Macaca fascicularis: one gene and its partner. The protein of the gene in region 1 interacts with the protein of each later gene in a biochemical or structural test. Links are inferred from orthologs where the notes say so. Each region holds a gene or a part of one and is shown on either strand. Other genes may lie near its edges.

The links. The genes of interacting proteins can lie anywhere in the genome.
Region 2: the proteins of RELA (region 1) and ING4 form a complex in vitro, tested with the Homo sapiens proteins (3 studies listed by BioGRID, with this or other methods). The link is inferred for Macaca fascicularis from reciprocal best matches to the Homo sapiens genes RELA and ING4.

Annotation. Positions count from the first base shown.
Region 1 is NC_088388.1:8,703,589-8,711,450, reverse strand, and holds the start of RELA (transcription factor p65), read right to left. Parts: upstream 5,032-7,862; 5' UTR 4,946-5,031; coding exon 4,939-4,945; intron 4,466-4,938; exon of another isoform or gene 4,324-4,465; coding exon 4,297-4,323; intron 4,207-4,296; coding exon 4,055-4,206; intron 3,954-4,054; coding exon 3,805-3,953; intron 2,329-3,804; coding exon 2,237-2,328; intron 1,911-2,236; coding exon 1,779-1,910; intron 952-1,778; coding exon 847-951; intron 631-846; coding exon 418-630; intron 1-417. UniProt on the Homo sapiens protein: NF-kappa-B is a pleiotropic transcription factor present in almost all cell types and is the endpoint of a series of signal transduction events that are initiated by a vast array of stimuli related to many biological processes such as inflammation, immunity, differentiation, cell growth, tumorigenesis and apoptosis.
Region 2 is NC_088385.1:7,583,952-7,590,719, reverse strand, and holds the start of ING4 (inhibitor of growth protein 4), read left to right. Parts: upstream 1-2,286; 5' UTR 2,287-2,304; coding exon 2,305-2,341; exon of another isoform or gene 2,342-2,358; intron 2,359-6,768.

The DNA of each region.
Region 1 (7,862 bases):
ACCAAGTAGACATTCAAACCTTGACCAAAATGTGGCTGAGCTCTATGGTAGTGACAAGACAACCAGTGTGGCAAAAGGACCTTGAAGCCAGATGGCCTGGGTTCCAATGCTGACTCTGCTACTTACTAGCCACGTGAACCCAAGCAAGTCAGACACTATCTCCTACTTCAAAAGGGTCATGACATTAGAATCAGGTGATCCAGTGAAATGCCTGGAATAGGGCAGATGTGTAGTACTAGCTCAACGTCTGAGGTATCCTTATCATTAAATGTGGCAAGAAATGGATTCCAATTACCATATAAATCCCAAGCTCTGACTCCAGCTTCTGGCCCTCAACTACAGCCCCAGACATGCGGTCTTGGCCTCTCTCTCATGGCAGAGCCCAGCTGCCCTGATGCTGCCATCCCAGCTGTGTACCTGTATCTGGCAGGTACTGGAATTCCATGGGCTCACTGAGCTCCCGGTCGGAAGGCCGCCGCAGCTGCATGGAGACACGCACGGGAGCCTGCAGGCTGGGGTCTGCGTAGGGAGGGGTCCGGAACACAATGGCCACTTGTCGGTGCACATCAGCTTGTGAAAAGGAGCCTCGGGCCTCCCAGCCTGGTCCCGTGAAATACACCTCAATGTCCTCTGCAGGAGATGGGGTGGCAGTGTGGGTCAGTGTGTCTAACCCTCCACGGTCTCCCCCTCAACTTCGGATGCTTGTCTTCTAATATCACCCTTCGGCCCACCTGAGGCCCCTGAGGCATAGGAGGAAGTATCCAAAGCCAGTTGCCTGCCACGCCCCGTCTCTGCTCAGCTTCACCCCTTGCTCCCAAGAGCCCACCCCTGCCTCCTGATGTATACCTTTCTGCACCTTGTCACACAGTAGGAAGATCTCATCCCCACCGAGGCAGCTGCCAGAGTTTCGGTTCACTCGGCAGATCTTGAGTTCGGCAGTGTTGGGGGCACCTGAGGCAGTGAGAACAAGGAAGGATGACCTGAGCCACCAGAGGTCCCCGGGGTGGCCTGCAGGAGATGCAACTTCCCTGCCTAGCCCCAAGTCAAGGTTGCCCAGAGCTTGCCACCTACACCTTTGCAGCCACAGTCAGACCTTCTTATTAGCTCCTCACCCCAACCAATTCAGCAAGTATTTGCCTACTGATCTAAGCAAGGAGAATACAACCACATACAAAACCTAAACCTCTGCTCTCACGGAGCTTATAGTCCAGTGAGTGCCAATCTGATCACACTGTGTCTCCACCTGACCAAAGCAATCTTTAAGGTCAGTCCATACCCACCTTGGCAATGAGCCCTTCCCTCCTGACTCCCAGTTTATCCTGGTTTCCCATCTTTGGGGTTCCAGAGTCGTTTTATTTCCATTCATCCTGCTGGTTACTTAATTAAAGACTGCAGCTGATCAGTCAGCCCAATTCGTCTGCGGGCTTCTGTCACTGAAGCATCATTCTCGAACACTATCTTATTCCTGGGAGTTCGTTTCCTAGAGTCATTATCGCAGTTGTGGGCACACCACCTTCTCATCACACGATACTGAAAATGCCCATTTCCCATCAGACTCCCTGCTAGACTCCCTGCCAGGCCGGAGCTACACCTCAAGGACAGCTCTGGGTCTTCTTTGCCTTCTCTCCCCAGCCAACAAAGAGCTGGGCACAGAAGAGAAGATGAATACACAAGATGACTGATGAATCAGAGCACCTCTTGCAGGCCACACTCACCCCAACCCCTTCCTCCTATCCAGGCCCACCCTCTCCCCTTCCTGTGTCTCCCTCGCTACTCACGGTTGTCAAAGATGGGATGAGAAAGGACAGGCGGCAGGCGGAGGGGCCTGCCTGATGGATCCCGCACTGTCACCTGGAAGCAGAGCCGCACAGCATTCAGGTCGTAGTCCCCACGCTGTTCTTCTATAGGAACTGGCAAGAAAACAGGTGATCAGGAGAGCAGGGGAAGTGGGGATATAGGTGTGACCAGTTGGGGCAGGGAGCTCTGCTCTGGGAGGGCCGCTGGCGAGTGTGTAAAACACAAGTCCTAGAGGAGGCAGAACCCAGCAGTGACTCCACTGTGACCTGAATGTCATGTCCCCTCCTGGGCCTCAGTTTCCCAATGGCAAAGTGGGAGAGTACCGAATGGGCACCAAGAGTCCATCTTTACCGTGTACTGGCCAATGAGGGAGATGCAGGAAAGGCGGGCCAGGGAGGGTGGCAGAGGGTGCGGGGGCGGCAGGCAGGGTAGCCCTCACCTTGGAAGGGATTGTTGTTCGTCTGGATGCGCTGAGTGATAGCCTGCTCCAGGTCCCGCTTCTTCACACACTGGATTCCCAGGTTCTGGAAACTGAGCACCCCCAGCCATCTGTCCCACTGTCTCTCACACAGCCCGGACCTTCCTGCCTTGCCCAGTCTGCTCCTTCCTCCCCCACCCACCCCCAGACCATCGCTCCATGCTTGACCCCCTCCAGTGGCTTCCTACTGTGCTGCAATGAACCCTGTCCCTTCCCTCAGCTGACAAGCACCTCCGTGCCCCCGCCCCTGCCAGCCTCCCCGTGGGCTCCCTGCTTACAACCACAGGCGCTTCTTTTCCATTCTCTAAACACAGGACACTCATTCCCACCTCAAGGCCTCTGCACTTGTTTGGTCGGCTTGGAATGTTCTTTTCCTACTTCTCTCCTCCTTCTCACCATTCAAGGAGGGAGGCCTTCCCTGACCTTCCAATCTAAAGTCATCACACCAGCTCCCGTAACTCCCCCACCCCAGGTTATCCTTCTATCCTATGACTTTGTTTTATTTTCAGGACTGAAATTGTTACTCTGACAGCACCTTGTTTATTTATCTGTGTATTTATTTATTTTTAAGAGACAGGGTGTTGGGCCGGGTGCGGTGGCTCACACCTGTAATCCCAGCACTTTGGGAGGCTGAGACAGGCAGATCATGAGGTCAGGAGATTGAGAACATCCTGACTAACATGGTGAAACCCCTTCTCTACTAAAAAAAAAAACGCAAAAAAATTAGCTGGGCGTGGTGGCGGGCACCTGTAGTCCCAGCTACTTGGGAAGCTGAGGCAGGACAGTGGTCTAAACCCGGCAGATAGAGGTTGCAGGGAGCTGAGATTGCGCCACTGCACTCCAGCCTGGGGACAGAGCAAGACTCCGTCTCAAAAAAAAAAAAAAAAACACGACAAGGTGTCGCTCTGCTACCCAAGTGTCGTGGTGTAATCATAGCTTGCCATAGCGGTGACCTCCTGGGCTCAGGTGATCCTCCCACATCAGCCTCCCAAGTAGCTGGGACTATAGGCACAAGTCACCATACCCAGCTAATTTCTTATTTTTTTGTAGAGATAGGGTCTCACTATGTTGCCTTGGTTAGTCTTGAACTCCCAGGCTCAAGAGATCTTCCTGCCTTGGCCTCCGGAAGTGCTAGAATTATAAGCATGAGCCACTATGCCTGGCCTGTATATTTTTTTAAGGCCTGTTTCTGTCAACTGCAATGTCACCTCCAGGGGAGAGTGTTGGTTCAGTGGTTTTCTTTCTCAAACAAGAGACATGACTCCAAGGGACTTGTCCTTCCAGCTACAGGGGTCAGGGATTCAGAAGTGATTAGGGACCCATCCATATCCCTTGGAGCTCTTATCTGTGCTAGAGTAGAGGTACAAATAGATCATTTCAAGACAAAGAGAGTTTACTTGCAGAGCTGAGTCAGAGCAAGAAGTAAGCAACTCTGCCCTGTGTCCAGAAAGGAGTAACACTGTAGCGGCTACTTCATAGCCCGCCTCCTGTTCCCTCATGCTGGGCCTCCTAGCCTGCAGGGAGCTCACCTGTGGATGCAGCGGTCCGGGCAGAGCTCAGCCTCATAGAAGCCATCCCGGCAGTCCTTTCCTACAAGCTCGTGGGGGTGAGGCCGGTGAGGAGGGTCCTTGGTGACTAGGGAGATGCGTACTGTCCCTGGTCCTGTGTAGCCATTGATCTGTCCAAAGTACAGAGGCCCAGACATCCAAACCTGACTCCCAGACACAGAGGGCTGGGGTTCCACAGTCCCTTCCCCGCACACCCTGGTGCAGTGCTGACCTTGATGGTGGGGTGGGTCTTGGTGGTATCTGTGCTCCTCTCGCCTGGGATGCTGCCCGCGGAGCGCCCCTCGCACTTGTAGCGGAAGCGCATGCCCCGCTGCTTGGGCTGCTCAATGATCTCCACATAAGGGCCAGAGGCCTGGGCTGGCTCTGCCAGGGGACACCGCAGGCCCATTAGACAGCTGCCCCCGCTGCCCTACCCCAGGGAACACCTCCCGGACCGCTGCGGGGGCCACTTACCTGCCGGGAAGATGAGGGGGAACAGTTCTGAAAGGGGAGGGAGATCAGGGTCAGCACACACCCACTGCCCATCCTCACAAGGGAGTATCTGCTCTCCACAGAGAAGAGAAGCCAGGCTCCCTCCCAGGGGAACTGAGTAAGGACCTGCTTCCTAGAACCTGCGGTGAAACTAAGGAGTGGAGGAAAGGAACCAGAAACACCTGCTTCTTGAGGGAAAACGGGGTAAGGAATCCTTCTCCCGAGGGAAGCCGAATCAGGGCCTGTTGTACTTTCATAAGGAAAACTGAGGGAGGGCACGCCCCACCTCCATCCAGAGAGGAAACTGAATCAGATGCGTTCTCCCCTAATAGGGAAACGAAGCCAGAGCTGCCCCCATGGACGGTGTGGAGGGAAACTGAGTCAAGGCTCCCTCTGCTCCCCCACCCAGGGAGGATGCTGAGTCAAGGGCCCCCCTCCACCCAGAGGGGAAACTGAGTCAGACCCCTCCCCGCCTGCCCCGCCCCGCGCCACCATCCGGCAGGCCGACCGCTCCCTGCGCAGCGCCAGTCGGCGCAGGAAGGGGCGGAAAGCGGCGCGGGGCCTCCCGCCACAGCCGGGGCGGTCCCGGCGCGGCCACCCCGCGGGGTCAGAGGGCGACCTCACCGTCCATGGCCGGGGTCCCGGGGGCGGGGCCGGGGTCGCAGCTGGGCCCGCGGCGTGCACTACAGCCGAGCCATTCGCCAGAGGCGGAAATGCGCCGCGCGCGCCCGCCGTCGCGTCACTGCCCGGAATCCGGCCGCGCCTGCGCGCTGCCCCGCCGCCGCCCGGCGAAGGGGCCGGGAGCAAGTGCGCGCCGCGCGGAGGACGAAGAGGCCGCGCGCACAGCCGCTGCCGGGGGCCGGGGCCAAGTGCGCGCGTCGCCGGGGACGAAGAGGCTGGTGTGCCCGGTGGTTCGGCTAGCTCCCGGGTCCCGGCCCCGCCTGGAGGGCGGGTCCGCCGATTACTCACTTTGTTTTTAGGGGATTTCAGGGCCCCCTCCCACCGATCGGCGGAGTTTGGTGATGTCACTCTGGGCCGGGTCTGGAGCAAAGCCCGGGCTACGGGGCTGCGGCCGCCCGCCCCGCGCAGGGAAAGGCCCAGTCGGGCCTTCTGCTCCGCAGAGGCCGGGTGGTTGAACTCCACGCCGGTTTCCTCATCGCTAAAGGTGCCTTTCGGTGGTGACTGTCTCAGAAGCACGTTAAAATGTCCAACCTACCCCACTCTAGATGCGGCTGTAGGGGAAGGGGAGCGGCCGGACCTCCCCCTCTGACAGTGCATCAGGGAGCTTTGCGGAGCCTGCAGCCCGGATGGGACAACTTGAGGCCCTCCCGCTGGCGAGCTGGCCGAGAGCTCGTCCCTCTCCAGCTAAAGCGCCAGCTTACTATGCAGCCAAACTGCCGGCCCTCAGCGGCTGCAGGAGCAGGGGGTCCCCAGGGGTAAACCCCGGAGCTTCGTCTCTGAAGCCTGGCGCTTGTATCTCAGAAGGTCCGGAACCCACAGGGGACACTCGAATCAGCAGGGCCACAACCCCCAACCCCACTGCCCCCGCCTGTGTTTGCCCTGGACCTCCAGCTAGGGCTGACCACTAATTCTGTCATGTGACCCCACAGTGCGGGTAGCTCCCCCAAGACCAAGCCCAAGGCGCGTCCTTGTGGGGGCTGGGGCTGGCGCAGCCCCACCTCAGGCCTCATCCCCGAAGGAGGATGCTCCAGGGGGCGGAGTCTTCTCCAGATGGAGAAAGACTTATTTTCTCTGAATTCGTCTTGAATTAGGAAATCATGTGGGAATTGGAAAAGATTGGAAATTCTGACTTGTTTCCCAGGCTCTGAAGAAACAGGAAGAGAAAAGTGAAAATAGAGTTAGCACCCCGCCCACTCATTTCAGTTTCTCCAGTGGCTGGCCCTGATTAGAAAAGTGTTTACTTTTGGCAGGGGGCGGGGAAGGCCGACTTCAGTTGAGCGAATGGATGACATACAATTATCATTAAACCTTGCATGGATCCTCTTCTTAAAATTCTTGTATATTTATAACTTTTAAATTAATACCATAAACACCCGTGTACCCATTGCAAAACTTAAGGGACCACCACCGTGCAGAATTCTGCATTGTATTGTATTGTATTGTATGTATTTATTTTTTGAGACAGGCTCGCGCTCTGTCGCCCAGGCTGGAGTGTAGTGGCACAGTCTTGGCTCACTGCAGCCTCTACCACCTAGGATCAAGCAATCCTCCCACTTCAGCCTCCTGCATAGCTGGGACTATGGGAGCACACCACCATGCCTGGCTAAGTTTTTGTATTTTTTTGTAGAGAAGTGGTTTAACCTTGTTGTCTAGGCTGTCCTTGAACTCCTGAGCTCAACTTTCCTTCCACCTTGGCCTCACAAAGTGCTGGGATTACAGGAATGAGTCACCACGCTGGGCCAGAATTCTGTATTTTCTTAAATTAATTAATTCATTATAACTAGAGATGGGTCTTGCTGTGTTGCCCAGGCTGGTCTCAAACTCCTGGGCTCAAGCGATACTCACACCTCAGCCTCCCAAAGTGGAATTACAGGCATGAGCCACCACGCCTGGGCCAGAATTCTGTATTTAAAAAAAAAAAATTACTCATATCTGCATGCCTACACAATATATTGTTTGGTTTTCCTTAGTTTTGAACTTTTTTTTTTTGAGATGAAGTCTCGCTCTGTCGTCCAGGCTGGAGTGCAGTGGCATTCGGCTCACTGCAACCTCCACCTCCCGGGTTCAAGCGATTCTCCTCCCTCAGCCTCCCAAGTAGCTGGGATTTAAAGGGGCCAACCACCACTCCTGGCTAATTTTTGTATTTTTTTAGTAGAGACGGGGTTCTACCATGTTGGCCAGGCTGGTCTCGAACTCCTGACCTCAGCCTCGGCCTCCCAAAGTGCTGGGATTACAGGCTTGAGCCACCGCGCCCGGCCAGTTTTGAACTTTTATGTAGAGGGCATCATATGATTTGTTGTCCTTTGTTACTTGCTTTTTTCACTCAACATATTACTATGATTCATCTGTTTCACAGTTAATTCACTTTTCACTGCTGTATACTGTTTTGTTGTGTAAATATACCACTGTTTGTTTATCTAGTCATCCTGAAGACGGACATTTTTATTTTCATTTTTTTCAGATGGAGTTTCTCTCTTGTCGCCCAGGCTGGAGTGCAATAGTGCCATCTTGGCTCACTGTAACCTCTGCCTCCCAGGTTCAAGTGATTCTCCTGCCTCAGCCTCATGAGTGATCTGCCTGTCTCGGCCTCCCAAAGTGCTATTACAGGCGTGAGCCACCGCGCCCGGCCATGGGCATTTGGACTTCTAATTTTTTGCTACCGTAAGCTTTAGAGCACTGAGCTAATATGCAAAAACAGCAATCATGTAGTTTTTAAAACTTAGTCTGGGGTTAAAGAAGTATGTAAACAACTATGTTTTCTTAAAGATTTATAGGAGCATTGTAACTAGACCAAGGACAAAGAAGTTCCCAACCTCCTTGGCCCCTCGCTGCTGCCCAGATGTCTGCCATGGGGTACCTCTTGGTCA
Region 2 (6,768 bases), on another chromosome or scaffold:
TGAGAGCAAAATTTCCTGGATTCTATTGCTGTATCTTACTACCTGCACACTAGTAAACCTGGGGTTTACGGACTACAGATCCTCTCAGCCCTGATACCCCCACCACTCTACAGCCCCTGACCCCTTTCTCTAGCCTGCTATTACTGTCCAGATAATGTTTCAAATACATCCCTGCAGCCATCTCAAAGCAAAACAAAGCAACTTCCAATCCGCCCCGGGTTGGAAGTTCCTCCTCTTCATGTATTTGGTAGAAATTAATATAGCTGAAAGTCTGTCTCATTAAAAACTTGACATAGGCCGGGCGCGGTGGCTCAAGCCTGTAATCCCAGCACTTTGGGAGGCCGAGACGGGCGGATCACGAGGTCGGGAGATCGACCTGGCTAACACGGTGAAACCCCGTCTCTACTAAAAAAATACAAAAAACTAGCCGGGCGAGGTGGTGGGCGCCTGTAGTCCCAGCTACTCAGGAGGCTGAGGCAGGAGAATGGCGTGAACCCGGGAGGCGGAGCTTGCAGTGAGCTGAGATCCGGCCACTGCACTCCAGCCTGGGCGACAGAGCGAGACTCCGTCTCAAAAAAAAAAAAAAAAAAAAAAAAAAAAACTTGACATAAGACATTGATAATTCTTATGAAGGGTGTGTGAGGGTATGAAAGGCGTGAGGGGTGGCAGCTATCTCTAAGATGCTATCTTACTAACACCACTATTAGGTTATGGCCTTTGAGTTCTATTTGCCTAGTGTGTTGGCAGACTCTCATACCCTTGACTGCTTTCCATTCTGATGGAAACCATAGAAATCACTCTACCATAGCTAACTAGAGTGATGGCTGGCAACTAGCTAGCCAACTAGCCCTGTAGTGATAGTGCTGCATCACTCGACCCCTTCAGAATTATGATGCTAACATCACATATAAACAAAAGGAAAACAAAAACATGAGGTTTCCCCCTTAGAGAGTAGCAAGAGGTGCCAGGCACAGTGAATCACGCCTGTAATCCCAGCACTTTGAGAGGCTGAGGAGGGCAGATCGCCTGAGGTCGGGATTTCAAGACCAGCCTGACCAACATGGAGAAACCCCGTCTCTACTAAAAATACAAAATTAGCCAGGTGTGATGGTGCATGCCTGTAATCCCAGCTACACGGGAGGCTGAGGCAGGAGAATCACTTGAACCTGGGAGGTGGAGGTTGTGGAGAGATGGCTCCATGATCACGCTATTGCACTCCAGCCTGGGCAACAAGAGTGAAAATTCTGTCTCAAAAAAAAAAAGTAGCAAGAGGGCAACGTCAGAAGTAATATTTTGGCCGGGCGCGGTGGCTCAAGCCTGTAATCCCAGCACTTTGGGAGGCCGAGATGGGCGGATCACGAGGTCAGGAGATCAAGACCATCCTGGTTAACACGGTGAAACCCCGTCTCTACTAAAAATACAAAAAAACTAGCCGGGCGAGGTGGCGGGCGCCTGTAGTCCCAGCTACTCGGGAGGCTGAGGCAGGAGAATGGCGTAAACCCGGGAGGCGGAGCTTGCAGTGAGCTGAGATCCGGCCACTGCACTCCAGCCTGGGCGACAGAGCGAGACTCCGTCTCAAAAAAAAAAAAAAAAAAAAAAAAAAAAAAAAAAAAAAAAAAAAAAAAAGAAGTAATATTTTATATGTGAAAGTATTCGAGTATAAAGTACAGGAGGTCTGACAAAAGATGTGCAGAATTATAGCATTATTGTCATTATTTGTATTTATAAGTAGAAAGTTGATAATCCTTCTCAAGCTTAAAAAATAATGCTGGGGGAGATGGTGTTTGTGTGAGTGAAAAGAAATGCAAAGGGTTTAAATCTCTCAAGGCTTGATACTCTTCCCCAACTTCCTTAAGAAACTAACTGGCTTGAAAAAAGTCATATTCTGCAAAGAGGGAAAAAAAGCTGTATCTTCCAGTCGCTGAGAAGGGATGTTTACGCAATATAAGCCTAAAGTGAACAGTTACCCCTGCACCGATTGCTATACATTCCCGTTTTGGAGGGAAAAAAGTTTGCCCGATAATGCAAAATGGCGACCTTCAGTGACGTCATACCTGTCTCGGTCGCGTCCTGGGGTCTCTGTAAGGGCGGAAGCGGGCTACAGCTGCCTCACTATGGGCGGTCGTGGCTACCATGCAAAAGGAAAAGTTTGAGCGTCGGGCGGATGTGTACCGGCGGTAACATAGTAAGGGCGGAAGTTCTCCTTTTAAGGGCGGAAAGGCTTTAGCCCCAAAATGGCTTCGGACCCTGTCGCGTTATAGTCACTTCCGGGGCGGATCGGAAGTTGCTTTGTTTTGCTTCGAGATGGCTGCGGGGATGTATTTGGAACATTATCTGGACAGTAAGAGCAGGCTGGAGGTGGGGGTCGGGGCTGTAGAGTGGTGCGGGGATCAGGGATGAGAGGATCTGTAGCCCTTAAGTCTCAATGACGAGAAGGTTACAATTGTGAGGGGGTTCTGTGGCAGGAAATATTGGAGGGTGCGGAGAAAGAGGGGGCGGGGCAGCAGGATCGAGGCCCCGCTGTTGGGGGTAGAGGAGGGAGGGGCTGCGGTGTGGGGGTTAGGGACGTGTCTTGAAGGGCTAGTGTGCACGGCCGGGAAGATAATTGCTGCCCCCATTCTCCAGCGTCTCCAGCCTCTGGGTAGATTTTTTTCCTATAGTCGTTCAGAATCGTTATCACCCACTGTCATTTGGAGCAGCGGTGAAGACCCCTCCTCCACCCCATTCTTCCTCAGAAGTGGCTTCTCGTGGGGTTGAGAGTGGTGGTGGTGAGAGTGGTGGTGGTGAGAGTGGTGGTGGTGAGTGACCACTGTCAGATGATGAGCTGGAACGCTTCTCTTCGTGGAGTAAAGATCTAATTCCCATCAAATGAAAATCTGGTGTTATGCCATTTATGTAAACCACCCCTGCACAAAGCCTGTCGCCCTATGCGCTTACATTTGTTTTAGGGCCCGGAGTCATTTATTCAACAAATATTTATTGAGTTCCTACTATGGGTCAGACATAATGGCAGGCACTAGGGATAGAAAAATGGGTAAGACAAGGCCCCTGCCCTCAAGAAGCTCTCGATCTAGAAGGAAACAGATTCTGCAAGTAATTGTAAAACACTGTGACAAGTGAAATAATGGAAATCCATTAAAAAGGACATTTGGTAGGCAACACTGCAGAAAAGGGGGGTAATTACCTGGCGATGTAGGAAAAGCTTTACAGAGGAGGTGATGTTTGAATAGGGTCTTGAAGGTTGTTTGCCAGTGAGGAGAGAAAAAGGGAATTCTAGGTTGGGGAAAGTGTCTGCAAAGGTACTGTGATAGGTTTGTGGCAAAGTCAAGGGTGTTTGATATTTATGACTCAGAGGTCAGCGTATTTAATATTTATGACTCTAAGGTAAGAAATTGAGAAACGAGACTGGAGAAAGAAGCTGAGGCTAGATTGGACAAAGTCTTTTAAGCCAAACTAAGAAGTTTGCATTTTAAAGTACAATGTGATTTTTATAAACGAAAATGACTAATATATGGTACATTGAAGCATGATATCACTGATAACAGAGATCAATTTAGTGATAACATTCCAGGACAGAGATAAGAACCTGATTTTAGGGAGTTATGGAAGTATTTAGGAGTTAAATATGAAAGGACTGCCGGGCGCGGTGGCTCAAGCCTGTAATCCCAGCACTTTGGGAGGCTGAGACGGGCGGATCACAAGGTCAGGAGATCGAGACCATCCTGGCTAACACGGTGAAACCCCGTCTCTACTAAAAAATACAAAAAACTAGCCGGGCGCGGTGGCGGGCGCCTGTAGTCCCAGCTACTCGGGAGGCTGAGGCAGGAGAATGGCGTAAACCCGGGAGGCGGAGCTTGCAGTGAGCTGAGATCCGGCCACTGCACTCCAGCCTGGGCGACAGAGCCAGACTCAGTCTCAAAAAAAAAAAAAAAAAAGAAAGGACTGACTGACTGGGTGGTTGAGAGAGAAGGAAGAATCTAAGGTGGCTTCTTGCTGCTTAGAAAGTGAGGTAGACAGGCTGGGCACAGAATCTTATGCTTGTAATCCCAGCACTTTGGGAGGCCAAGGTGGGCAGATCACTTGAGGTCAGGAGTTTGAAACCAGCCTGGCCAACATGGTGAAACCAGTCTCTATTTAAAAAAAAAAAAAAATTTATCTGGGCATGGTAGCATGTGACTCTAATCCCAGCTACTTGGGAGGCTGAGTCAGGAGAATCACTTGAACCCAGGAGGTGAAGATTGCAGTGAGCCAAGATCATACCACTGCACTCCAGCCTGGGCGACAGAGAGAGACTCTGTGTCCCTCTTAAAAAAAAAAAAAAAAAAAAAAAGGCCGGGCGCGGTGGCTCAAGCCTGTAATCCCAGCACTTTGGGAGGCCGAGACGGGTGGATCACGAGGTCAGGAGATCGAGACCATCCTGGCTAACACGGTGAAACCCCGGCTCTACTAAAAAATACAAAAAACTAGCCGGGCGAGGTGGCGGGCGCCTGTAGTCCCAGCTACTCCGGAGGCTGAGGCAGGAGAATGGCGTGAACCTGGGAGGCGGAGCTTGCAGTGAGCTGAGATCTGGCCACTGCACTCCAGCCTGGGCGACAGAGCGAGACTCCGTCTCAAAAAAAAAAAAAAAAAAAAAAAAAAAAAAAAAAAAAAAAAAAAACTTGTGGCCAGGCCAGGTGGCTCACGCCTGTAATCCCAGCACTTTGGGAGGCTGAGGCGGGCGGATCACGAGGTCAGGAGATCGAGACCAGCCTGGCTAACACAGTGAAACCCCGTCTCTACTAAAAATACAAAAAAATTAGCTGGGCGTGGTGACGGGCACCTGTAGTCCCAGCTACTCAGGAGGCTGAGGCAGGAGAATCGCTTGAACCTGGGAGGCGGAGGTTACAGTGAGCCACTGCATTCCAGCCTGAGCAACAGAGTTAGACTCCGTCTCAAAACAAAAACAAAAAGGCTGGGAGTGGTGGCTCACGCCTGTAATCCTAGCACATTGGGAGGCTGAGATGAGTGGATCACCTGAGGTCAGGAGTTCAAGACCAGCCTGGCTAACATGGTGAAACCGTCTTTACTAAAAATACAAAAATTAGCTGGGCATGTTGGCAGGTGCCTGTAATCCCAGCTACTTGGGAGGCTGGGGCACAAGAATCCTTTGAACCCGAGATTGTGCCATTGCACTCCAGCCTGGGTGACAAGAGCGACACTGCACCTCAAAAGAAAAGAAACGAAAGTTAGAGGAGAAAAGATCATGCCAACTGCTGCAGAGATATTTTTTAGGATAGGTTTAATAACACCGTTAGATTTGGTACATCGACGGTGACTTAATCTTGTGAACTGGTGGTAGCAGACCTGAAGTTGTACGTTTAAACAGTAGAGGCATTTTGTTTTTTTTTTTATTTATTTTGTTTTAGGTGTTTTTGTTTGTTTGTTTTTGAGACAGAGTCTCGCTCTGTCGCCCAGGCTGGAGCGCAATGATGCGATCTTGGCCCACTGCAACCTCTGCCTCCTGGGTTCAAGCAATTCTCCTGCCTCAGCCTCCCGAGTAGCTGGGACTACAGGTGCCCGCCACCATACCCAGATAATTTTTGTATTTTTAGTAGAGACAGGGTTTCACTGTGTTGGCCAGGTTGGTCTTGAACTCCCGACCTCAGGTGATCCACCCACCTTGGCCTCCCAAAGTGCTGGGATTACAGGCATGAGCCACCATGCCAGGCATTTTATTTTTAATATATATATTTAATTTTTTAGACACAGAATCTGGCCATGTTGCCCAGGCTGGTCTCAAACTCCTGAGATCAAGTGATCTGCCAGCCTTGGCCTCCCAGAGTGCTGGGATTAGAGGCGTGAGCCCCTGTGCCCGGCCAGTAGAGGCATTTTGAAAGTTTTAGGTGGAGTCTTGGGAAGAGATTTTTCTTGTACTGAGGGGACAAATATTCATGCATTTATTCAAGTATTTTACTGACTACTTGCTCTTCGCAAGTCATAATTCTAAACACTAGGGAAACAGGAGAGAATATGATAGCCATGTTCGGCGTGGGGAGACAGATACCAAATAACTAATTACACAATTATTATTTTTTTATTTTTTTGTTTTTTGAAACAGTCTTGCTCTTTTGCCCAGGCTGCAACCTCCACCTCCCTGGTTCAAGCAATTGTCCTGCCTCAGTCTCCCGAGTAGCTGGAACTACAGGCACAGGCCACCATGCCCATCTAATTTTTTTTTTTTTTTTTTTTTTTTTGAGACGGCATCTCGCGCTGTCGCCCAGGCTGGAGTGCAAGTGGCATGATCTCAGCTCATTGAAAGCTCTGCCTCCCGGGTTCACACCATTCTCCTGCCTCAGCCTCCTGAGTAGCTGGGACCACAGGCGCTTGCCACCATGCTCAGCTGATTTTTTTGTATTTTTAGTAGAGACGGGGTTTCACCGTGTTAGCCAGGTTGGTCTCGATCTCCTGACCTCATGATCCACTCTCCTCAGCCTCCCAAAGTGTTGGGATTACAGGTGTGAGCCACTGCACCCAGCCTAATTTTTGTTTTGTTTTGTTTTTGAGATAGAGTCTCGCTCTGTCGCTCAGGCTGGAGTGCAGTGGTGCAATCTCAGCTCACTGCAACCTTCACCTCCTGGATTTAAGCAATTCTTGTGCCTCAGCCTCTCAAATATTTGGGATTACAGGTTTCACCATGTTGGCAAGGCTGGTCTTGAACTCCTGACTTTAAGTGAGCCACCCGCCTCGGCCTCCCAAAGTGCTAAGATTACAGGTGTGAGCCACCGTGCC